Linked DNA regions of Oryctolagus cuniculus. The protein of the gene in region 4 interacts with the protein of the main gene of each other region in a biochemical or structural test. Links are inferred from orthologs where the notes say so. Each region holds a gene or a part of one and is shown on either strand. Other genes may lie near its edges. The genes, in order: FOS, CDK1, STUB1, RUNX1, DTX2 and ELF2.

What was found.
Region 1: the proteins of RUNX1 (region 4) and FOS form a complex in vitro, tested with the Homo sapiens proteins (2 studies listed by BioGRID). The link is inferred for Oryctolagus cuniculus from reciprocal best matches to the Homo sapiens genes RUNX1 and FOS.
Region 2: of the proteins of RUNX1 (region 4) and CDK1, one has a biochemical effect on the other in vitro, tested with the Homo sapiens proteins (2 studies listed by BioGRID). The link is inferred for Oryctolagus cuniculus from reciprocal best matches to the Homo sapiens genes RUNX1 and CDK1.
Region 3: the proteins of RUNX1 (region 4) and STUB1 form a complex in vitro, tested with the Homo sapiens proteins (3 studies listed by BioGRID, with this or other methods). The link is inferred for Oryctolagus cuniculus from reciprocal best matches to the Homo sapiens genes RUNX1 and STUB1.
Region 5: the proteins of RUNX1 (region 4) and DTX2 form a complex in vitro, tested with the Homo sapiens proteins (2 studies listed by BioGRID, with this or other methods). The link is inferred for Oryctolagus cuniculus from reciprocal best matches to the Homo sapiens genes RUNX1 and DTX2.
Region 6: the proteins of RUNX1 (region 4) and ELF2 form a complex in vitro, tested with the Homo sapiens proteins (2 studies listed by BioGRID and IntAct). The link is inferred for Oryctolagus cuniculus from reciprocal best matches to the Homo sapiens genes RUNX1 and ELF2.

What each region holds. Positions count from the first base shown.
Region 1 is NC_091451.1:21,316,140-21,320,356, reverse strand, and holds the start of FOS (protein c-Fos), read right to left. Parts: upstream 2,801-4,217; 5' UTR 2,604-2,800; coding exon 2,463-2,603; intron 1,812-2,462; coding exon 1,560-1,811; intron 1,148-1,559; coding exon 1,040-1,147; intron 945-1,039; coding exon 303-944; 3' UTR 1-302. UniProt on the Homo sapiens protein: Nuclear phosphoprotein which forms a tight but non-covalently linked complex with the JUN/AP-1 transcription factor. In the heterodimer, FOS and JUN/AP-1 basic regions each seems to interact with symmetrical DNA half sites.
Region 2 is NC_091446.1:53,173,969-53,177,468, reverse strand, and holds the end of CDK1 (cyclin-dependent kinase 1), read right to left. Parts: intron 2,851-3,500; coding exon 2,687-2,850; intron 2,576-2,686; coding exon 2,434-2,575; intron 762-2,433; coding exon 663-761; 3' UTR 407-662; downstream 1-406. UniProt on the Homo sapiens protein: Plays a key role in the control of the eukaryotic cell cycle by modulating the centrosome cycle as well as mitotic onset; promotes G2-M transition via association with multiple interphase cyclins.
Region 3 is NC_091450.1:34,026,459-34,029,975, forward strand, and holds STUB1 (E3 ubiquitin-protein ligase CHIP), read right to left. Parts: upstream 2,068-3,517; coding exon 1,912-2,067; intron 1,745-1,911; coding exon 1,546-1,744; intron 1,471-1,545; coding exon 1,305-1,470; exon of another isoform or gene 1,221-1,304; coding exon 1,133-1,220; exon of another isoform or gene 1,011-1,132; coding exon 768-1,010; exon of another isoform or gene 698-767; coding exon 572-697; 3' UTR 501-571; downstream 1-500. Other genes in the region: JMJD8 (jmjC domain-containing protein 8), read left to right, coding at 65-132, 206-340, 417-497; RHBDL1 (rhomboid-related protein 1), read right to left, coding at 2,407-3,061, 3,133-3,193, 3,263-3,363. UniProt on the Homo sapiens protein: E3 ubiquitin-protein ligase which targets misfolded chaperone substrates towards proteasomal degradation.
Region 4 is NC_091435.1:10,027,676-10,031,855, reverse strand, and holds the start of RUNX1 (runt-related transcription factor 1), read right to left. Parts: upstream 2,801-4,180; 5' UTR 2,591-2,800; intron 2,445-2,590; 5' UTR 2,387-2,444; coding exon 2,329-2,386; intron 1-2,328.
Region 5 is NC_091450.1:44,162,887-44,166,983, forward strand, and holds the start of DTX2 (probable E3 ubiquitin-protein ligase DTX2), read right to left. Parts: upstream 2,801-4,097; 5' UTR 2,634-2,800; intron 2,522-2,633; exon of another isoform or gene 2,434-2,521; intron 1,579-2,433; exon of another isoform or gene 1,418-1,578; intron 1-1,417. UniProt on the Homo sapiens protein: Regulator of Notch signaling, a signaling pathway involved in cell-cell communications that regulates a broad spectrum of cell-fate determinations.
Region 6 is NC_091439.1:25,673,940-25,676,864, reverse strand, and holds the end of ELF2 (ETS-related transcription factor Elf-2), read right to left. Parts: coding exon 2,754-2,925; intron 2,333-2,753; coding exon 1,708-2,332; 3' UTR 501-1,707; downstream 1-500. UniProt on the Homo sapiens protein: Isoform 1 transcriptionally activates the LYN and BLK promoters and acts synergistically with RUNX1 to transactivate the BLK promoter. Isoform 2 may function in repression of RUNX1-mediated transactivation.

The DNA.
Region 1 (4,217 bases), on a different chromosome or scaffold from region 4:
AGAGAAAAGAGACACAGACCCAGGCCTGGCTCAACATGCTACTAACTACCAGCTCTCAGAAGTGCCACTGGGAACAACACACACTCCATGCGTTTTGCTACATCTCCGGAAGAGGTAAGGACTCGGGTCCACACGCGGGTGCGTTCCAGTCCTTGCGGCCCACAGCCTGGTGTGTTTCACGCACAGATCGCGTCCTCCCTAGTCTACCGGAACCCTCGAGGGAAGACGTGGTTCTTTCTGTAATGCACCAACTCCGGACAGAGGCAGGGCGCCGCGCCGGCTGCCTCCCCAGCCCGGCCGGCTCACAGGGCGAGCAGTGTCGGGGAGCTGAGCGAGTCAGAGGAGGGCTCGTTGCTGCTGCTGCCCTTGCGGTGGGCCGCGGCGCAGCTGGGGAAGGAGTCAGCCTCGGGGTAGGTGAAGACGAAGGAAGACGTGTAAGTGGTGCAGCTTGGGGTACAGGTGACCACCGGGGTGCACAGGGGCTCCAGCTCCGCAGCCATCGGCCCCATCCCCAGGGCGCCACTGTGCAGGGGCTCCCAGTCTGCGGCATAGAAGGAACCGGACAGGTCCACGTCCGGCACAGAGCGTGCCGTCTCCGAGCCGCTGGGCCTGGATGACGCTGGGAACAGGAAGTCATCGAAGGGCTCGGCCTTCAGCTCCATGCCGCTCAGGTTCTTGCCGGGCTCCACTGCGGGCTTAGGCTCCGGGTCGTTGAGGAGGGGCAGACTGAAAGGCTCCTCGGACTCCGGGGTGGCAGCCTCGGGCAGGCCCCCGCTCAGATCCAGGGATCCCACGGACATCTCCTCGGGGAAGCCCAGGTCATCGGGGATCTTGCAGGCGGGCCGGTGGGCTGCCAGGATGAACTCCAGCTTCTCCTTCTCCTTGAGCAGGTTGGCGATCTCCGTCTGCAGCGCAGACTTCTCGTCTTCTAGCTGATCTGTCTCCTGTGTTGGGGAAGGATGGAGACAGCATGAGACTCGGTCACACTCCAGGGCCCAGCCTCGAACTTCGAAAGGTGTGACCCCTGGGGTCTACTTACCGCCTGCAGGGTATCGGTGAGCTCCCGCCTCCGGTTTCGGCACTTGGCTGCAGCCATCTTATTCCTTTCCCTTCGGATTCGCCTCTTCTCCTCTTCCTCGGGTGACAACTACAACGACACCAAGCAGAGAGCGCTTCAGTAACAGTGACAGCCACCACTTCGGGGAAGCTGGCTCCTGCCGCCTCCCAGCTCCCTGGCACCTCCTCTGACGAGTATTTCTAACCTGCAGTCGCAGGCGGGGTGTGACTTGCATTTAAAATCAGATCCTCAGCCCAAGAACAAAGATGAGCCCAGGCTGAGGGCGCCAGCGACAGGAAACTATCAGGGAAGAAAACTACAGACGGACTTCTTGGGGGCGGGACTATCGGAGTCTGGCCTGGAGCCAGGCTTCCTGGCTCGGGATGGGATGCACAGACAATTCCCACTCTGGCTTCATCCTCGCTGCTGGGTTCCCCCAATCTCCGCTGCTGTCCCCGTGACCCGCCTCCCCCACCCCCCAAGGTGCAGAGGCGCCCCTCACCTGCTCCACCTTGCCCCTTCGGCCGATGCTCTGAGCTCTGCCTCCGGTCAGGGTCTTCACGTTTCCAGCCCGGGGGTAAGCCCCAGCCGAGGGGGCGGGGACTCCGTAAGGGTGGGGGGCTCTGGTCTGCGACGGAGCCACGGAAGAGACCAGGGTGGGCTGCACCAGCCACTGCAGGTCCGGGCTGGTCGAGATGGCAGTCACGGTGGGGATGAAGTTGGCAGTGGAGACGGCCAGATCCGAACAGAAGTCCTGGAAGAAAACAGAAGGAGAAGCCGCCGTGAGCGCGCGGGTTGCGTTCACAGGTGGGGCGCGCCGGGTTCCCAGCGCCTGCCGCATGCAGCAGCCGGGGAACGGCGCCTGCGGGGTCTGTTAGTTCCCATCCCGGCTGGAAGCTCTGCCCTCTGCCCGCAAGGTCTCCGCAACGCGGCGCCTCCTGTCTCCAGCCCGCGGCCGTGTTCCCGTTATTTCTCCAGCAGCATCACTCGCTGGAAAGGGGGTTTGTTATAAATATCCCTGACGTCCGCGCTGACGCAGGCGCCGCTCCGGAGTCTCCAGAATGAACTCGCTTTTTATCAATGAAACTGCCTTACGCACCCTCCTCCCGCGCCCCTCCTCCCGGCTCCGGGCCGCCCTCTGCCGCCTGCCCCAAAGGAGCCGGACCTCCACCTGGCGAGTCTCTCCCTGGGCTCACGTCCGCCCCGGTCGCAGAGGGCGGGCAGGGGGCTGCCCGGCGCGGACCCGCCGGGCAGAGGGGCAGGCATGGCTTACTATGACGACTGGCGAGCGTGCGCTCACAACAAGCCCCGCGCTCCCAGACTGGGGCTGCTCCGGCCGCGGCAGCCTCCCACCCTGGCGACCCCCCGGGTCCCGGGCCCCACGGAGGCGCCAGTGCGCCCTCACCTGCGCATTGACCGGGGAGCCCATGCTGGAGAAGGAGTCGGCTGGGGAGTGGTAGTAGGAGAGGCTGTCCCCGGCTGGCGAGGCGCTGCTGCAGCGGGAAGACGCTGCCTCGTAGTCGGCGTTGAAGCCCGAGAACATCATGGTCGCAGGGAGGGCAAGCTGGGCGAGGGGCCTGGGCACCGAGGCCGGCGGAGCGCTGGCTGGGGCAGAGCTGGGTCGGAGCGCGGTCACTGCTCGCTCGCTATGCAGCGGCCGCCGGCTCTGTCTCAGGTTCTTGGCTGCTCGCTGCAGAGGCGCTTGGAGTACGAGGCGCCGCAGCCACCGCTTTTATAACAGCATTTTGTGAATGAGCCCAACGGCGTCACCGGGCGCAACCATGTGGCGCTGGAGGGGTGGCGCGCCGGCTGGGGTGGCGCCGCTGCGACCCGGCCACCCCCAGCCGCGCGCAGCCCCCGCCCCGGTATGCCTGTGAGTCCTTACTCTGCGGGCGTGGCGAGATGAGGGTCCCGGAGGGGTCTCAGACCCCCGAGAAGAGGGTCTTCGGGGGTGGCTCCCCCCACGGCGACACGGGACGGCCGTGGAAACCTGCTGACGCAGATGTCCTAATATGGACATCCTGTGTAGAGGGGGGAGGGATTGACGGGAACTGCTCGCGGGCTGCAGCCAACATTGAGGGTGCAGCGCGGGGGGGAAGCGGGGGCCGCGCCGGGGCGGGGGAGGGGAGGCGGGAGAGGCGGAGAAGGCGAGCGAACATTCCCACTGGGCACGCTGCGGACCCTTGTTCCTGGGGTCGTGGGGGATGGGACGGAGGCCGGCCTCTCACCCCGGTGCAGGGACTAGGGTTGGTTCTGAGGCTCAAGTACTGGAGGAACAGGTACACGGCCCCGAGGGCGCAAGCGCGGCTCGCAGAGGAACGCACGCAGCCCCCATTCCCGACCCTCGCCCTAGCTGGGTGCAAAATGTGGCCCCAGACCCGAGCCCCTGAGCCCCCGAGCCCCCAGGGTCCCAGGATCATTACTACGTTTGGAAGCAGAACGTGATGGGTCTAAAATGAAATACGGTAGCCCGGCTTGATTTGCGAGGCGGGGGTACTTTGATTTTTACTGATTCGTTTTCGTGTTTGGAGGAAGGCAGCGCACTTGTTTTTTTCTTCTGGGCCGAACGTGGGGGTGTTAGTGTTACTGTCCAATCCCTGGGACGCCCGTCCATATACGTCATACAGACCCCCGCGCCAGGATGCCAAGGGGTCGTCAGCCGCGTTCCGAGCGGCGTCCTGGGGGTGGGTGGCCTGTGCGGGGCCCCAAGGTGGACTGAGCCGCCAGGGAACGCAAGTCAGAGCTGGGGGTGCGGTGGGGGCCGGGTCGGTTCCGCCAGGAAACTGGGCTCCCAAGGAGCCCGCAGCGGGTGATTTTCCAGCTCGGATGGGAGGCGGGCAGCAAGGGGAATGGAAGAATGGTGCCCAGCAGTATCCAGGCGGGAGGCCTCGAGGCCCGGGCCCTGGAAACCTGGAGGTCTTGGGGGCCGAGCAGGTGCTGCAGAACGCGCCACGCCCCCCCAACGCCCCCAGCCTCCCGCTGGGCTGCAAAGGACCGCCGGGGTCACACTGTCCCAGCTGGGCCCCGGCGCGCCGGACACCCCTGGAGTGCAACGGCGCAGGTCCCTCTGCAGGACCCCTGAGTCCTCTGACCCACTCTGGGGGCCTAGGGGTCGCGGCCAGCCGAGGACCCGCTCCCGGGGAGGGGCGAGGCAGGGTCA
Region 2 (3,500 bases), on a different chromosome or scaffold from region 4:
TCATAAATTTTCACAACTGTTCTTCCCTGCTGTGGACAGCCCTTGATCTTTGACTGTAAAACTTAGCAAACTTTGGCATGCTCTAATGTTAGTTTTATAAGTTACTGAAAACTCCTATAAATTTAGCATTATTTTTCAAATCTGTCTAGTGTTCCCATCCTGATGCTTAAACATTTAAGTCACAAATTGAAATACCAGCAGAAAAATATTCATCTTTAGGCAGGTTGTATAGTTACCATATGGCAAGAAAACACAGAGCATAAAAATTCTTCAAAGCATTATGAAACTTGGAACTTAGTATACTTTCCTACATTTTAGTAGTTCCAACTATATATAAAACAGAACTGCTGTAAAGATTGAGCTGATTTAAGCTACCTCAAATTTTCTTCAATTCCTGACATCAATATTAGATTGATTGTTTTATTATAGTAACAAAGTTGTTACAGAAAGATCTACACACATATACAGAATTATTATATTTAAATTCATATAGAACAATATTTACATTTTTAAGTTACAGTTTTGAAAAAAGAAGAACAGCTTAAGTTTTACAACATAGAAAAGAAAAATATACAAGACAAAAATAGAGTTAACAGTAAAAATACAACTATTCATTCTCGGTGTAGCAATCTGGAAACGTCAAATGTGGAAATGGCAAAGAGCTATATCTTCTTAATCTGATTGTCCAAATCATTAAAATATGGATGATTTAGTGCCATTTTGCCAGAAATCCGTTTGGCAGGATCATAGACTAACATTTTCTGGAGGGGGAAAAGAAAAAAGATACTTATTTATTAAATGAGTCATTTTTTAAAATCTCCTTTAATCCTTAACTTTTTTTATCAATAAGCCCTAATAATTTCAGTGAAAATCTACTAAAAGAACATCTCCATTAATTTATTACATAAATGTCTTATCCCTCAGAGTTCACCCTGTAGCTCCTAAATCATAAATATCACAATAATTTTTGTTAAATTATCCTAAGACCCAAGTATTCAAAGATAGCTTTAAAAGCATCACATAAATTTAGGAAAGATACCTAGTTAATTATATTTATGCTGAGAATTAAATGACCATCTGAGTTATTTATAACGTTCTTCAATGGTGACAATTAACTACAGTTGTTTCTGCTATAGCTTCTAACAAGTTCCACATTAAAGAGAAAATCCACAGCATAATGTGTTATACACATGGCCAAAAATGAGTCACTAAATGAATAACGGTCAAACAACCTAGTATTAAAGTTAATTTACACATCACCAAAAAAGCTAAAAAGTTGAAGACGGATTTTAAATTTTATCTGAAAGAACTATTAATCTTAAAAAAGAAAATCAAATCAAGAAGCAGACTACAGATACTTTTACTAACAAATCATCATCCTAACCCTTAGGTATTCAGCACTGTATGAAGTGTTTTGGCTACTTATCCCTTACAAGATTGGCATTAGTCCCACTATACAAATGAGGACCCTGAGGCTCAAAGGCGTTCATTTGCCCAAGATCATATAATAGCTAAGGAATGACAAATAGGAAATCATGTCCAATTTAAGAAGTGCAGTGATGGTTCAACTGGGGAAGACTTTGCCCATAAGGAGACATTTTGGCTGTCCTAAGTGGGGAGAGTGTTCTACTGACATCTAGAGGGTAGAGGGCATAGATGCTGCTAAACATGCTGTGATGCACAGGACAACTATGTGGATCAAGATGTCAATTATGGCTACAGAGAAACCCACTTTCCGGTATTTGACTTTTGTTTCCTTAACTGAAATAAAATCAAAGAATTGTAGAAGTCAGAAGAGCAGCCTGGCCAGAACTGTAGAAGAGCCTCAAGTCCAATCAACAATACTAGCATACTGTACCAAAGACCTGAATGGCAGATAAAGGACTCTGGCAGTCACTATAAGCAACTGAGAAAAATCTAAATCTGACCTTAATTTGGTTGTATGATTTACAGATGGTAAGCTTCCTGGAGAAGGCCTTTCCCATCCTAAGAGGTTCTACTCTATTTTTTGCTTATTTGTAAAGAAAATCATTAAATGGCAGAAGTAATGTGAAAGAAGAGAAAGATTTTTAAGAGATACAGCAATTCTAACCTTTCTGATAGAGAAACAAGTGAGATATGGAATTCATGCTGTAAACTCCTTTATTAACTAAAAACAGCAGGCAGTAAGAAAATACTTGACTAAGATAGACTAAAAAGGAATTAATAGTAAATGACAAAAAAAGCTGAGAAGGAAGCCACCACAACTTAGCAATTCAAACTGCCTATAGTCATCTCACATAACAAAAACCAAAACCCTTCTCAAAACCACTACTGTTTCTTGATGTCTAAAACGGGGCAGTAACACAATAGAGTATTCCCCAGGTAAACAAAGGACTGAATGAATATGTGCAGAATCATCAGTAAGGTTAAAGTATAAACGGCACTGCTTACCGAGAGCAAATCCAAGCCATTTTCATCCAAATTTTTGACATGAGATGCCAAGCTTCCTGGTTTCCACTTAGGAAATGTATTCTTATAGTCCTGTAAGGATTCCACTTCTGGCCACACTTCGTTATTGGGCGTGCCCAAGGCTCTAAAAGCCATTGCAAAACATAACATCAGTTAAAGCATAAATATCATCTTTTTACATACATGTTGCCTGCATTACTTCAAACATGGTAGCAATTTTGGTATAAATAAATACCTGAAAATCCTGAAGAGCTGATCAATTTCTGAATCTCCATGGAAAAGTGGTTTCTTAGTTGCTAATTCTGCAAATATGGTGCCTATACTCCAAATGTCAACTGGAGTAGAGTAACGAGCTGACCCCAGCAATACTTCTGGAGATCTATACCAGAGTGTTACTACCTATTACAAAGCAAATTTTTACAGAAAATAAACATGGTGCACCAAATTACCTACATTTAAACACTTATATTTCATTAGGCTGGCTCTTTAGAAAGCTGTTAACACCAAGTTAATAAACTATATACAGAACACTAAATTGAATGTCACTTCTAACTTCTACACATCAAGAGAAAAACAGACAAAAGCATACCAAATCTTTCTTGTTTTTCTTATCATTAAAATGAGATCATCAAAGCATGTTATATTTTAAAAAAATGACAGTGGATTTAGGAGTGACACTATACAAACTGCTGCACTGCTTACTGCTAGCATGTAACTAGTCAAATAATAATTTATTAGTAATCTAGAATTAAGCCAACAGTTCTGTATATTCAATCATGATGATACCATTTCTAACTTAGAACAAAGCTAATGCGTTCAGAGGCTGACGCTGCCACTTGGGACAGCTGCAGAGCACCTTGGTTCAGAGTACCAGTCACTAAAATTCCAACCCAGCTTCCTGCTAATATACCTGGGAGGAAGGAGAATAATGGCCAGAGCACTTAGGCTCCTACACCCTGGCTTCCACCTGGCCTGGCCCTGACTATTGCAGACATCTGGGGAGTGAACCAGCAGATGGAAGACCTGTCACTCTGCCTTCCAAATAAATA
Region 3 (3,517 bases), on a different chromosome or scaffold from region 4:
CGGGAGCCGGGGACGGGGGCAGGGCAGGGGGGTGTGGTTTTTTGCTCACCCGCCAAACCCACAGGCGCGGGCACCGGGGTGCCCTTCCACTGGCACGGGCCCGGGTATTCGGAGGTCATCTACGGCCGCAAGGTCAGTGCCGTGGGCAGGGGCTGGGCGCGCGGACCCGCGGACCCGGGGTGAGCGTGCGCTTCCCCTCCCCCAGCGCTGGTTCCTGTACCCGCCCGAGAAGACGCCGCAGTTCCACCCCAACGAGACCACGCTGGCCTGGCTCCGGGACACGTACCCAGGCCTGGCCCCGGCCGCGCGGCCGCTCGAGTGCACCATCTCCGCGGGCGAGGTCCGGGCCGGGGCCGGGGCCGGGGCCGGGGCGGGGGAGGCGAGGCCCCCCGCTGACGCCCGCGCCCCTCCCGCAGGTGCTGTACTTCCCGGCCCGCTGGTGGCACGCCACGCTCAACCTGGACACGTGCGTGTTCATCTCCACCTTCCTGGGCTAGCGCTCGTGCTCACGGACTTTATTGCAGGACAGGGGCGGCGCCGGGGCGGGGGCGGGGGCGGGCCTTGCAGGGGCTCAGTAGTCCTCCACCCAGCCGTTCTCCGAGATGAACGCGTCGATGACCTCCTTCATGGCCAGGTTGGGGATGAGCTGCTCCTGGGTCAGGGGGCTCCGGGTCACGGGGTCAAAGTGGCCCACGCGCTGCGGGGACAGCGGGGTCAGCGGCGCGGCGGGGCGGGGCGCCCGGCCGGGCCGCCGCGGCCGCACCCACCTGCAGGTGCTCCTCGATGTCCTTGCGGTCGTAGGTGATGCCGCTGGGGGTGATGCAGGGCTCCCGCATCAGCTCGAAGCTGATCTTGCCGCACAGATAGTCGGGGACGTCGCGCCTCTGCACACAGGGCGCGCTCAGTGGGCGGGCGGCCGGCACCTGCCCACGGGCCCCGCCGACAAGGCTCACCTTTCTCTTCTCGTCCACTTGCGAGAAGAGCTCGTCCATGTCCGCCAAGTACTTGTCCTGGAAGAAGCGAGGGGGCGCTGCCCCGGGGCCGCACACGGCCCTCCCCCGGCCCAGCGCCGCCTGCCCCCGCCGCCCCCGCCGCCCCCGGGGCCCGCGCCCGCCGGCCGGGCCGCCCTCACGTGCTTGGCCTCAATGCAGGCCTGCTGGGCGCGGACGTGGCCGTCGTCCTCGTCCCCCTCGTGGCTCCGCTGGCACTCCTCCAGCTCCCTGCGGGCGAGCGGCCGCGCGTCAGGACCCGCCCCGCCCCGCCCCGCCCCGCCCCGCTGTCAATAAACGCGCGGAGGGGCCCACCTCTCGCGCTCGGCCGCGATGAGCCTGGCGAGGTAGGCGTGCAGCTCGCTCTCCTGGTGGATGCGCCGCTCCTCCAGGCTGTTCCAGCGCTTCTTCTTGGCGATGCGCAGCGCGCTGGGGATGTCGTCGCCGAAGTTGAGCCGCTGCTCCTTGGCCAGGCTGTAGGCTGCGGGCGCGGGGCGCGCGGTCAGCCCGGCCGGCCGCCCGCAGCCGCGCCGCGCGCCCCGCGCCGCGCGCCCACCTCGCTGCAGGTTGGCGATGGCCTCGTCGTAGCTCTCCAGCTCCAGCTGGCACTGGCCCAGGAAGAAGTGCGCCTTCACCGACTGGCCGTCCAGCTCCAGCGCGCGCCGGCAGTCGGCCAGCGCCTGCTCGTGCTGCTGCATCTTCAGGTAGCACAGGGCGCGGTTGGTGTAGTACACCGCCACCAGCGGGTTGCGCGTCTGGGGAGAGCGGGCGGCCGCGCTGTGGGCGTGCGCGCGGGCCGCACCCGCACCGCACCCGCACCCGGGCGGCCGCCGCCGCCGGGGCCGAGTCAAACGCCCCAAGCCGGGGGGCCCCGAAGGGCCGCGCCCCGGCGCCAGGCCCGCCCCCGGCGCGGCGCACTCACGATGGCGCGGCCGTAGCAGGCCGCCGCCTCCGGGTACTTGCGGCCCACGAAGAGCCGGTTGCCCTGCTCCTTGAGCTCCTGCGCGCTCGGGCTCTTCTCGGGGCTGCCGCCGCCGCCCAGCCGCGCGCCGCCCTCCTTCTCCTCCTTGCCCTTCATGGCGCCGCGCGGCACGGCCTGGGCTCCGCTCGCGGGCTCCGCGCCCGGCCGCCCGCAGCCCGCGCCCCGCTCGGCCCGGCCCGGATCGCCGCCACCGGAACTTCCGGCCGCGGGGGGCGGGGTCGCGCGTGCGCGCTGCGGCGGGGTGGGGGCGGGGCCCGCCGCGCGGAGCCTCCGAAGGACCGCCTCCCTGCGGCCGGGCTCCGCCCCTCCGCGCACGCCCCGCCCCCGGCATGGGGGCAGCGGGAGGCCGAGGCGTGCAGCGCGTGCGGGCCCCCGGGGGCGGGCCCCGCCGGCGGAGACGACCCAGGACGCCCTGACCCGCAGCTGAGTACGGCCTCAGCTGCCGCAGCCGCCCGGGCACCCTGTGCGGCCCGTGAGGCAGCGTCCGCACAGGTGGGAGCGACCCCGCCGGCGCCGCCCCCTCGGCATGGGCGGTGGGACACCGTGCCTGACCGGCCCCAGCCTGGCCCCCTCCCCCACGGCGTGCAGGCCGAACTCGTGGGCCAGGACACCCACCGCCTGTCCCCTGGGGCCGCAGCCCAGTCCCTTCGTAGATGGGAGGGCCCCGCACGGTCCGCGGGAAGCGGGGGGCAGAGACGCCTCCAGACCCCGGACAGCCACCTGGTGCCGTGTAAAATATTTATTCACTCTGCAAAAGGCGCGGACCGCGGACCCGGGGGCGGGGCGGGGGCAGGGCCTCCCCTGTGCCCAGGAGGCGGTCAGGGCGGCGGGGGGACGTGGGCGCCCAGCAGGTCGTAGGCAAAGACGTTCCAGAAGACGGCGAAGAGCAGGAAGGTGCCGTAGGCCAGCAGGACCACCCACCAGCCGCACTGGTCCCGCAGGCGCTCCTCGTAGCTGCGTAGGATGGTGAGGCCCATGCTCACGCCCACCACGGCGCCCGCCAGGTGCGCCATGAAGCTGGGCTGCGGGCCCGAGGCGGGCAGCGGCGGCGAGAAGCGCAGCCACACGGCGCGGCCCACCTCCGAGCTCACTGCGGAGGGAGGCGGCAGGTGGGCGGCGCCCCGCCCGCGGGCCCGCCCCGCCCGCCCCGCCCCTACTCACTGCACACCAGGGCCAGCACCATCCGCAGCAGCTTGTAGGGACACCGCATCCCAGCCCAGTTCTGAGGGGCGCGGAGAGGCCGTGAGACAGGCCCGCGGCGCCCGCCCCGCCCCCCGCGGGCGCCCATTACCATGACGACGTTGGCCAGGTGCGCCGAGCACAGGGCGTAGACCCCGCCGGAGCCCCCCACCACGGGGGCCCGCATGTCGGTGATGGACACGGTCAGGGAGCCTGCGGGCCAGGAGGGCAGGGGTGAGGCCCGGCGGGCGGCGCGGGGCGGGCCGGGGCGCGGCGCCTCACCTGCCAGCACGCCCGCCAGGTACAGGAGGCTGATGCGCAGCGCGCCGTGCACCATCTCCAGGGGCACCCCGATCATCAGCTGCAG
Region 4 (4,180 bases):
GTTCTCTAAGGACGGCTTCCAGGGCCAGCCCTACACGCTGACATCCCAGCAAAATGTCCTGCCTCTGCCTTCCTGGGGTTGATCACAGAGGAAACAGTCAGCGCTTGGAGAGGGCGCTGGAAGTGCAGGAAGGCAGGAAGCTCGTTTTTCTCTTATTCTGCGAATATTGCTTCCCCAGGGGAAACGCTGCGAGGGAGCCCCGCGCAGCCTCTCAGCCAGGGCCCTGGCCCCACGGCGCCCACGACGCTGCCAGATGCGATGCGTGACTCACACACATCCCCGTGAGTCGACTGCACTCCCCGCTGCCAGTGGAGAGCGCTCAGAAACCCTTCCGGCTGAAGCTGGGGATCAGCTCACGGCTGGCTGTCTTGTGTGTCCGCCTAGACCTACCCCTTTCCCTCAGACACACACAGACACACATACACATACAGATACATACAAACAAGACACACAGACACACACACACAGACACGACACACAGATACAGATACACAGACACACACATGCACAGATACACACACAGAGGCACCAACACACATAAACAAGACACGCACAGATACACACACAGACACACATAAACAAGACACACACAGACACAGGCACACATGCAGATACACACAGACACAAACAAGACACATAGATACAGATACACACACAGATACACAGACACACAGACACACACACAGGAACACACATACATAGATACACACACAGAGGCACCAACACGCATAAACAAGACACACACAGACACAGACACAGGCACACATGTAGATACACAAACACAGACACACAGATACACACACACAGACACACACATACACAGATACACACAGATACACACAAGCAAGACACACAGACACATATACAGATACACACAGACACACAGATATACACACACTCAAACACACACAGACACAAACACACACACAAATGAGACACACAGATACACAGACACAGACGCACAAACACAGACACACAAAAAACAGACACACAAGCACACAAATAAGACACAGACATACACACAGACACACAAGCACACACACGCAGATGCACAGACACACAAACACAGACATACACGCACAAGCGCACACACACACACACATCTTTGTCAAGTTTTTAAATTTCAGGGATCCAGAAACAAATGGAATGTGGCACTCCCAGCGGCGTCTGCTGTGACCGAGCGGCTGGCAAGCCCGCCACGTTCCCCTGCTCACTTGACTGCATGAATAGAGAACGAGGCGCAGACACTATTTGGGGGCATGCAAGAGCCTGAAAATTAATTAGTCTTCCATCCAAGCCCACTCCGCTCCAGCTCTGCCAAACCATCAAGCCACATTCTGCAGGTACCGGCCAAAGCCCAGCCCCGGTGCTCCGACGCCTTCATGGTCTTTCATGTTACTGTTTTTCCTCGGCTAAGCACTGCCCTCTCTTACCACGAAAGATACACAAAATGCCTCCGGGCGGCACACTGTCTCACACTCACTGCTCAGCCCTAGCTTTGCAGGTTTCAAGAGTCTGGTTGCAAAAGTGCGTAGGGGTTTTGCACACCAGTGCTCCCGTTGGTGAGCGTGCAGTCCACGGACCCAAGCTGCCAGAACGTTCGTTGGACTTGGGAAACTCCTTCCTTGCTCTCTTCGAGAGAAAGAGAAAGACCCTGGGATGTCACAACCTGCTTTCTCGCTTCAAAGATGCAGGCTGCCTCTTTGCCTGGGGGCGCCCAGGAAAACAGCACAGCCTGGACCTGACAACTCTAACCTAAGCGAGTGTGCCAGGCTCCAATACTCTCTGCGTGTTGGAGATAGCCGAGTCGCCACTTTGAGCCTGAGACCTCCAGGCTGGCTGACGCACAGGGCAGATCCGAGAGCCTCTTGCCCCACGCTGGCTCCAGCCCTTCCCGGCTGGCTTGCTCAGCGTGTGTGCCTGCTAAGCCCCCAGGGCAGGCTGCCGTCCGGGCCACACAGCGTGCAAAGTTCAGGCTAACTCAGACACGGTTATTCCATTGCCGGCAAGGGACGGCACGCATAAAACCCGGGGGAGCTTTGTGCAAGCATTCTGATCTCCAGGACTTTAAACCAGAGCAGCCCGAGCTACCGCGCTGCCTTCGTCCTCTGACCCAGCACTTCACCAGCTTAACCAAGTATGCGTAAAAACAGTTCGGCGGCGCTGCCCTCGGAGGAGTTGGTAATCCAATAGCATTGCAATCACCGGCCTCGGGGACAAGTCCTCCCCCACTCCGACACAGACGGGCACCCAGGCGCCCCTCTGCCCCCTTGCTGTGGGCGCAGAGCTGAACACAAGCAGATACCAGAAGACCAGCACGGTACTCACCTCTCATGAAGCACTCTGGGTACGAAGGAAATGACTCAAATATGCTGTCTGAAGCCATAGCTTCCTCCCGAAATCGCACCCTCTGCCGAAGGCGGGAGTTCAATGGTGTCTTTTACCTTAGGAGTGAAAACCAAGAAAGGTCACCGCCTTCACCTCCTCACGCCCATCATGGCTCCCTCCATCTCTTCCCCTCCCCACCTCCGCCTGGGTACTCCTGGGACTCCCCGAGTTCTACGAAAAAAAAAAAAAAACACAAAGGTACCTTGGTGCAAACAAATATTCAAATTGTTAAAGAGCAAACCCAGCAGCGCGCCCGCCGGGGCTGTGGGCTGACGCTGTGCGCCACTCTGATAGCCTGTGGTTTGCACTCAGGGTGAGTCGCCCGGCCGGCTGACCACTACACTGGGCTGAGCCTCCTGCCACTGCCAGCCTACCCAACTTGTGGTTCTGTGGTTGTCTGTGAGACCCAAAGAAGTTTTCACACAGCCCAAATTACAAATTTAACTGTTCCCCTTTCCACGGCCTGGCTTCATTGGTTCTTGCCAGTCATGTGACGCCAAGTGAGGTCAATTTTTTTTTTTTTTTTTGTACTTTCTGAGCTGTTCTCTTCCTTCTCCCACCTGCCCTGCCCCCCAGGCAGTGCAAACACAAAGCCCAGTAGAGACTTCAAGAGAGAGGGGATGCAGAAGAACAGTGGCTCGGTCTCTCCTCTTATCGCAAGGGTCTCTGCTGGCTTAGGGATGGCTCAGCTCCTGCTCTTGGTATTTGTGGGTTTGGGAAGCTACTGAGTATTTTGATAAGGATTTCATTGCTGCCTATTCAATAGTAACTCAACGCTGGCGTCGGTCGTCGGGATGCTACATACACAGGATGTGGACCCTGTCATTTCGAATGCTCAAAATCAGCTGGCGGCAGGGGGTGTGGGGGGGTGGGGGTGGGGGAAGAAGTCAGTCCTTATTCAAGAGTGTAACAGTGTGAGTGAAATGACAAGGGGGAAAAAAAGATTAGGCGAGAGACCCCTAAAAGGGGCTAGCGATTTATCAGTGTTTTAAAGCCTGTCCAAAGGAGAGCACTTTCCTTTTTGAGATAAAAGTGTCCGTGTAATGAAATCAAACGTATGTGGCTTTCTTCCTCCTCCATGGACATTTTTGCACACCTCTGTTTCAGTACGGGGGTGGAGGCCCTGTGTCTCTGAGAACAGGGATTGGCACTTGTACACACACTCTGGTTAGGAGGCTAAGGAAAAAGCGAGTTTCACCTGCGAAGACCTGCTTCCTGGGCCTGCCTTGGCTTAGCTCAGCTCAACCGGCCCAAAACACCTGTCAGTGCAGGTAGCTGGTGAGACTTCCAGAATTCACCATGGCCAGAGGAAGCCGAGGAGGGGCTTCTCGGGAGCGGCCCCTTGTCGGGGGGGCTGGCTGATGGGCCCCATGAGCTCACGCTCTGCCTGTGCAATGCCCACATGGGTCAGTCCTAAAGAAGCAGGCTACTTTTGTGTGCGGGGGCGTGCAGACCACCCCAGCCTTGGGGAGCTTTATCCTGCTTGTCGGTTTCCCCTGCTGATCAACAAAAGCATCCTTTTTGTCATCGCTCAAGAGAAACTGTACTGCAGGGTCCGAGACCCCAGCCCTGGGTTTCCAGCTGGTGCACCACTGCCCTGGGAGGCCACGGCAGAGCCTGAACCCCAGGACAGTCCCTTGGAACGGGTGCCTCCGCGGAATTCTGCACCCCAACCGTGCCCTCAGACTCCCAGGCCTTTCAAAAGCCACGGACACGATTTTTTTTTTTTTTAACTTACTCCTCTTTTGACGGAAGCAGGAACCGAAACCCCAGAGACTGCTTTCTCCCAGAC
Region 5 (4,097 bases), on a different chromosome or scaffold from region 4:
GAGGCTGCCATGGCCTCACTGCTGGAGCAGGGCTGGGAGCGCCTGCTGAGCCCCGATGCTCACTCCAGGGGCCTGCACCTCTGCTTCCCTGCAGCCCACCTCGGGCACAGGTGGGAGGAAGCCTCCTGAAGCAAGCGGGCGCTTCTCTATGCCGGAAGTCCACACTCCCCAGGGTTGACAATCGAAGCCCCCTCCCTCCCTCCCCCTCAACAACACAACACTTGCAGGCCTAGGTCCCCTCTCCAATCCCTCCTCCTCCACACCCATCCAGGTGTCCCCACCTACGCTTCCAGGGGCTCAATCTGAACACACCTGCACAACGCCTTGAGGACCCCAAGGGAAGGAAGCAGCCCCTTAACCCCCACTGCGGCCTGTGCGTCAGGGCCCCCCCACCGCATCTTATCCCTGCAAGTGGACGTCAAGCCACTGAGGGCCAAAGCCCTCACCTAGCCTCCCCCACCAGAGGCCGGCACGGTGTAAGGCGCCGGCCGTAAGGGGAGTCCAGTCCATGCCACGCTGCCCCGAGGATTCTGCTGAAACCTTGCCAATGCCACAGCCGTGGCGGGGCTGTCACAAAACACCCGGCGCTGGTGACCGGCGCTGGTGACCGACAAAGCCAACAGGTGGGTTTGGCTCGAGGTTCTGGTGGCTGGAGGGGCCGCGCGGCCAGTGGCAGCATCCTGGTGAGGGCCCTTCGGTTGCACCTGCAGAAAGGGAACCAGCCGCACAAAAGGGACAAAAAGGGACCGTGCACCCGGAGCTAGTGGCTTTACAGCCATCGGCCTTCAGGAACAGGAATCCTCTCCCAGGAGAGGCGCATGCACCCGCTCATCTCCTTCCCTTAGGTAGGCCTCAGCTCTGTGGGACGCCACCACCTCCACACCAGGGACCTCAAGCACACCAATGGTCAAGCCACAGCAAACCACAAGCCCTCCCGGCTCAGACCCTGCTTACTCCTGCCGCCTGCACCACCCCACACCGGGCCCCGCTCTGCCCTGGCTCCCCTGCCCGGCGCCTCTCCCCGTGTCCTCAGCAGAGGGTGGGGGGCTCTGCCCTGAGGTTCCCCCAGCTCAAGGACGCCTTGGAACAGCCTGTGCCGTCCACGAAGGCAGGGATACTATCTGCACCCCCCCCCCTCCGCGTGGTTTATGCAACACAGGACGTGAAAATTTCCAGTTCAAAAGCAGAAATCAGGACTTCCGTCCTCCACCCCAAAGCCTCCTGGGTCTGGCTCAGCAGGAGCGGCGCTTCGCAAGAGGGCTCGTGGATGTACCTGGGGCAGCCGGCACCCACGGCCCACTCCCACCCAGGGCCTCGCTTCCACTCTGGACACCCCCAGCTCCACCCTCCGCGGTGTCCATCTTCTCTGCCGGAACCCAGGCCGAGAAGGCAGCGAGGTGAAGCCCCCAGCGCTCACCTCTTCTGTCCAGAGGGCCGGCACTCTCCGTGCCCCTTCTTGACGCAGACACAGATCCTCAGGAGGAAGCACTGGCCCGAGTCCCCATCTCGGTACACAGACAACAAGAACCGGGAAAATCCGAGAGCCTTGCTGACTCAGCGGCACGAATTCCAAGGCACCTTTGCCAACAAGGAAGAGGGCGATCAGGTTTTCAATTGAGAAACAGCAGGGAGGGGAAGCGGGTGCACAGACGCTGTGGCCGTGGCCCGGGACTGGAAGTCACCCGATTTATTTTCCAACAGCCCGGGCAGGGCAGAAGGTGGCGGGACTCTTTTCCTCCCGCCCGCTCAAAGGCAAGGAGAGGATTTTAAAAACCCAAGCCCGCACACAGAAGAGGCCTGAAAAAGCCCGCAGGCTGCTTAGACATCCAGGAAGTCCACACAGGGTGACAATCTGACCAAGGTCACACAGCAAGCGACCAAGAGGGCCAGCTACCGGGTCAGCTTCCGAGAGCCCTGATTTTTGGCTACCCAAAACACCGGAGGGTCTGGGGGCGGCACGCGGAAATTTGAGTTTCGGGGGGGGGGGGGCGGAGCGGGGGGTCTACGCGGCCGGCACTTTGGGAAGTGGAACCGGTGCAGCTGGTTAGGGCGGGCGGCATGAAACCCCAGCTCCAGAGATGGGACGAGTGCCCCCCCAAGTCCTCTTCAACACCCCTCGCGCATCCCTGCAAGTGACCGGGGACCCCGCGAAACGGGAGCTCAGGCGAAGGTGGACCCCACTGTTAGACGGGGATGGGGGGGGGGGCAGGGGAAGCCGAGTGACGGGGCCAACTCCTCCCCAAGTCCAGCCCCCCTGGCCCGGCGAGTTCCTCCACCTGAGGGCGGACCCAGGAGAAAACCCACAGCCTCGCCCACCGCCTCCTCCAGGTCCTGGGGAAAGGGGTCTGCTCCTCCCGACCCAAACTCCTCCGCGCCCCTCCTCCCGCTGCGACCCCGCGCCCAGCGCCCAGCGCCGACCCGAGCCCCCAGCACCTCCAAATCCCCCTCGACTCCCGGCCTCAGGACCGGGGGCGCGCGAGCCACTCCTCCCAATCCCCCGGGACTCCGGGGCCTCCCTCACTCCCACGCCCGCCCCCTTCCGGCCCCAGCTCGGCTCGGTCTCCCTCCGCCGCCTCCCGCCCTCGGGACCCCCAACGCTGCCGACGAGCGGGAGGCCTGCCCGCTTCTCTCACCGGGGCTGAGAAGGGCGAGGGGACGAGGCGAGGACGCCGACGCGCCGGGACCGGAGCTCTGGCTCGGCCCGGGCAGGGTTCCGGCTGTGGCTCCCGACTCCTAGCGGGAGACACCAGCCAGAGTAAAACTCGGCGTCGCAGCTTCCGAGCGCCCCGCCGCGCATGCCCAGCGCGCGGGGCCTTCTGGGAAATGTAGTCCGGCCTGGGTCAGGGGGCGGGGCAGAAGGAGATGGGCGGAGCCTCTGGCGCACCTGCCCAGGTGAGTGTGGTTTTCTTTCATTCCCTCGTGGAGTTCCTGCTTCACTCGTTACGGGCTCACTTTTTAACTTCTATTTATTTTTTACCTGAAAAGCAGACACAGACGCCTTCCACCGGTTCACTCCTCAAATGGCAGCAACACCTAGGGCTGGGATGGCTAAAGCCAGAAGCCTAGAACTCAGTCCAGGTTTCCACGTGGGTGACAGGAACCAAGTACTCGAGGCATCGTCTGCTGATTCCCAGGGTGCACAGTAGCAGGGAGCTGGACTGGGACTCAGGCACTCCATTCTGATACCTAGATATGGGCGCCGCAGGTGGAGGATTAACCAAGTGAGCCACGGCGCTGGCCCCCTCAACTCATTTTAAATAGTTCTACTGTTGTAGGCGTGATGCCAGGGCCTGCTCTGCTGCATACTGAGGACTGAAAAGTACATCAGAGATGTGTTTTTCTCCTAGAAGAGCTTTGCATCTACCTAGGGAGACTGAAACATAAACACACAATTGAAATATAGTAGGTTAGGGCTGGGGCTGTGGCACAGTGGGTTAACGCCCAGGCCCGAAGCACCGGCATCCCATATGGGCACCGGTTTGAGACCAGGCTGCTAAACTTCTGATCCAGCTCTCTGCTGTGGCCTGGGAAAGCAGTGGAAGATGGCCCAAGTCCTTGGGCCCCTGTACCCACGTGGGAGACCCGAAAGAAGCTCCTGGCTTCGGATCGGCTCAGCTCTGGCCATTGCAGCCAATTGGGGAGTGAACCATTGGATGGAAGACCTCCCCCCCCCCCCCGCCTCTCCTCTGTCTGTAACTCTGACTTTCAAATAAATGAATAAATCTTTTAAAAAATATATAGTAGGGGGAATACAATGATTTTAAAAAATGGGGCAGGCGTGGTGGCACCGCAGGATAAGCCACTGCTTGGGATGCCTGAGCCCGTACCTGAAGGCTGAGTTAGAGTTGGCACCTCAACTTCCTGTTAATGCGGCAGCTCACCTGGGAAGCAGCCCGGGGGTTCACACTGCAAAGTCCTGCCCTGACCCTGACAACTTCCCAGGTGGTCTCAGCTCCCCACCTTGGAAAGCTCCCGGGAGAATCCTCTCTGCTCAGCACCAAATGGACTACCTGGCCTGATTAACATTAAGCAATAAAATCTTTCCTTTAGGCGGGCACCCTAGGGGAGGCGCCTCTGCTGGCGCCAGGTGGGCCCCC
Region 6 (2,925 bases), on a different chromosome or scaffold from region 4:
TGCATAAAGGCCAAAAAATATTTAGTATAACCTCGTGTAAATTCCTAAAAAGCAGACAACTTTTCTCTATTGTAGAAAAAGCATTAAGATGCAGACTGGTAGGACCCAGTTTTGTGTGAAATTCGGTAATTCATGTAATCCTGCTGGTACTTCAATTTGCTAATCTGTAAAAATACTAAAACATGATTTATTCTTCTTACCCTCAAAAGGTCTGACTGAGAAACAAATGGTCTAATTTGAAAAAAGTTCTTTAGGTACAGCCAACTATAATACTAAATTCATTATTGTAGGTAGAACATTATAGTTTGTGATGATGGTGGAAAAGGAATTGGTGACATGCAGATATCTGCCAAATATTAATACAATGGAATGAAACAAAGTAGAATTTCTTCACAAAACAGGAAGGAGAAACGAGACTGCTATTACTTCTTAACTACAAAACATCTCTATGCTGGCTTTTGAATATTGTTAAAAATATCACCAGAGACCAAAGCACAAGATAAATTTCATTTCTATATTTCAGAAAACCTACTTGAATACACTTTGAAACAAGAGTACAACAAAATAGAATATACTTCAAATGTTGAATATACAAACTATTATAGTTCAAATCTGAACACTGGTACTTTCCCTCTTAAAACTTCAACTAAAAAATAAAATAACAGAAGGAAGGAAAAGAAAGGAAAGGAAAGAGAGAGAAGGAAGGGGGGAGAGGAAAGGAGGATGGCAGAGAGAGAGAGAGAGAGAGAGAGAGAGAGAGAGAGAGAAGCTAGCTAGCTAGCTCCAGGTATTAGAGCTACCTGACAAAAATTCATGCTGAGCCTGAACTTCCAAGTGACCGTAGAACTGAAACTGATATGTCTGCACAGACGCCAGGGCTAAGTGAGTGACACAGGCATGTTACAGCAAAAGGCCAGGGCCAACTGTTAATTTGTCCACAATTAAGAAACTGACAGACTTAAACTACCATATAAAATGTTACATGTAAATTCTATAACAATACTGTGCTAGGTACAAGATTTTTAAAATTTTTCTTTTAATAAAAAAGCTTTACACAAACAAGCCATTAGCTTATTTCAAGAAAGAAAACCGAAAATTAGTCTAAGGCCTTTGTTTTAAATCAGCTTAAGCTATATGATATATATATATAAAAAAAAATTCGCACTAGATCTTTTTTTGCTATCCTCTTTCTGAAGCTTTTGGATCCATTCTTCAATTCACATTCTAAAATACCTATATTAGCAGAGTCTTCACATAGCACCAGTTAAGTGAGAACTGTGCGAACACAGTAATAATTGCTGGTATGCATATAAAATGCATCAAAAATTGCTATATGTAACAATGAGATCACCCATCCCAACCCCTCCCCACTGAAAACTATATAACCTCTTACAGAAAGTTAGTGTTCCAAGTCTTAGTGTAACTTGATATTGTAGTGAGCTGCTTGGTCCCTTTCAATCCTTTTTCTCATTGATGGGTTCAGTTGTTTCCTACTGTAAGAGGCAGTTTTCTGTCAGCATCTCAACATGTAGCTCATCTCCCACTGAAACATGGGATAGGTAATATATTTCCAGTAAGTCTGATTGTTTTCTTATATGCAATACAAAGCTTTAAAGTCTTCCTTGGACTTGTCTTGATGACTTCCTTTGCAAATGTTTATCATCAGTACTACCATTAACAGTCTAAGTCCATGGTACAGCTGCTATTTCATTTCTCACATGTCACTAGACCTTCTGTTTTCATAGTTACAGGAAGGGCAATGGCTGAAGGCGCACTGACAACCACCACGTGGGTCACTGTCTTATTTCCATCTGCTGGTTTTTCTTCTACCAGCTGCAAAGTTTTCACATCATGTTCTTGCTTTTTTGCCACTGCTTCTGATTTAACCTCTGGCCCTTTTATTACTGCACTGATAACTCGAGGAGGAGTCTGGCCAGATGCCTGTTGAGTAGGCACTGATAGTCTCATTACAGGTGTACCATGGGCTATTGAAACAGGGGTAAGTGCTCTGACAGCCAATGGGGTTCCAACAATGTTAATGCTTCCTGATCCAGTCAGATTTGACTTTGTCTGCAGTTGACACTGTGCAAGTTGTGTAGCTGGGATGGTGATGATTTTGGCAGGCTGCATGGTGATCTTGTCTCCATTTTCAGTAGAGGCTGGCACCACAGTAGGGATTGTCTGAATGACTACCTTTGGAGAGGTTGCTGTCGGTGGACTAGTGCTGGTGATTAACGGTGCACCTGCATTGACTGACTGAACTGCCACAGTTGAAATTTTCTGACCCAATGATGTCATTACAACAGGTACTTGCATTGCCACACGAACTGTCCTAGTAGATTAAAAAGAAAGGAGTTTATTTACATTTAACTCTCAATTAGAACATAGTCTTCTATGCAAAAAGAGGAATGCAAACTCAAACTGCATAGAAGTAGAAGCAGTGCTCTGAAATTTCACAAGTGTTGGCAATCCTGGCAGTTTAGAATCTGAAGTGCCTTGAAACAAATACATTTTTAAAAAAAACACAAAAAACAAAAACAAAAGCTAAAGCCCAAATGAAGTAAAAAACAAATCATTTTAGTCAAGATACCTACTTTAACAACAATACACTTAAAAATGTCAGGCAGTTTTTGAAATCCTGACATCAAGTTCTTAGCATGCTAATATGTATTAAACAAATGGATATATAATTTTTACCAAGGATCTTTCTTAAAAAGATAAATACATAACAACTAATAGTGTGCCTCACTTACCTTGGAGCCGCCGTTGCAGATACAGATGTGGTGGTAGTAGGAGACCGAGATGAAGCATCGTGGCCAGGGGAAGTGATATTCACAACTCTAGCTACACCCTTCTCTGCTCTGGAGCAGTTTATAGGAGATGAGTTTTTCCCGCCACGAACAGAGGTTGCTGCTTTCAGGAGAC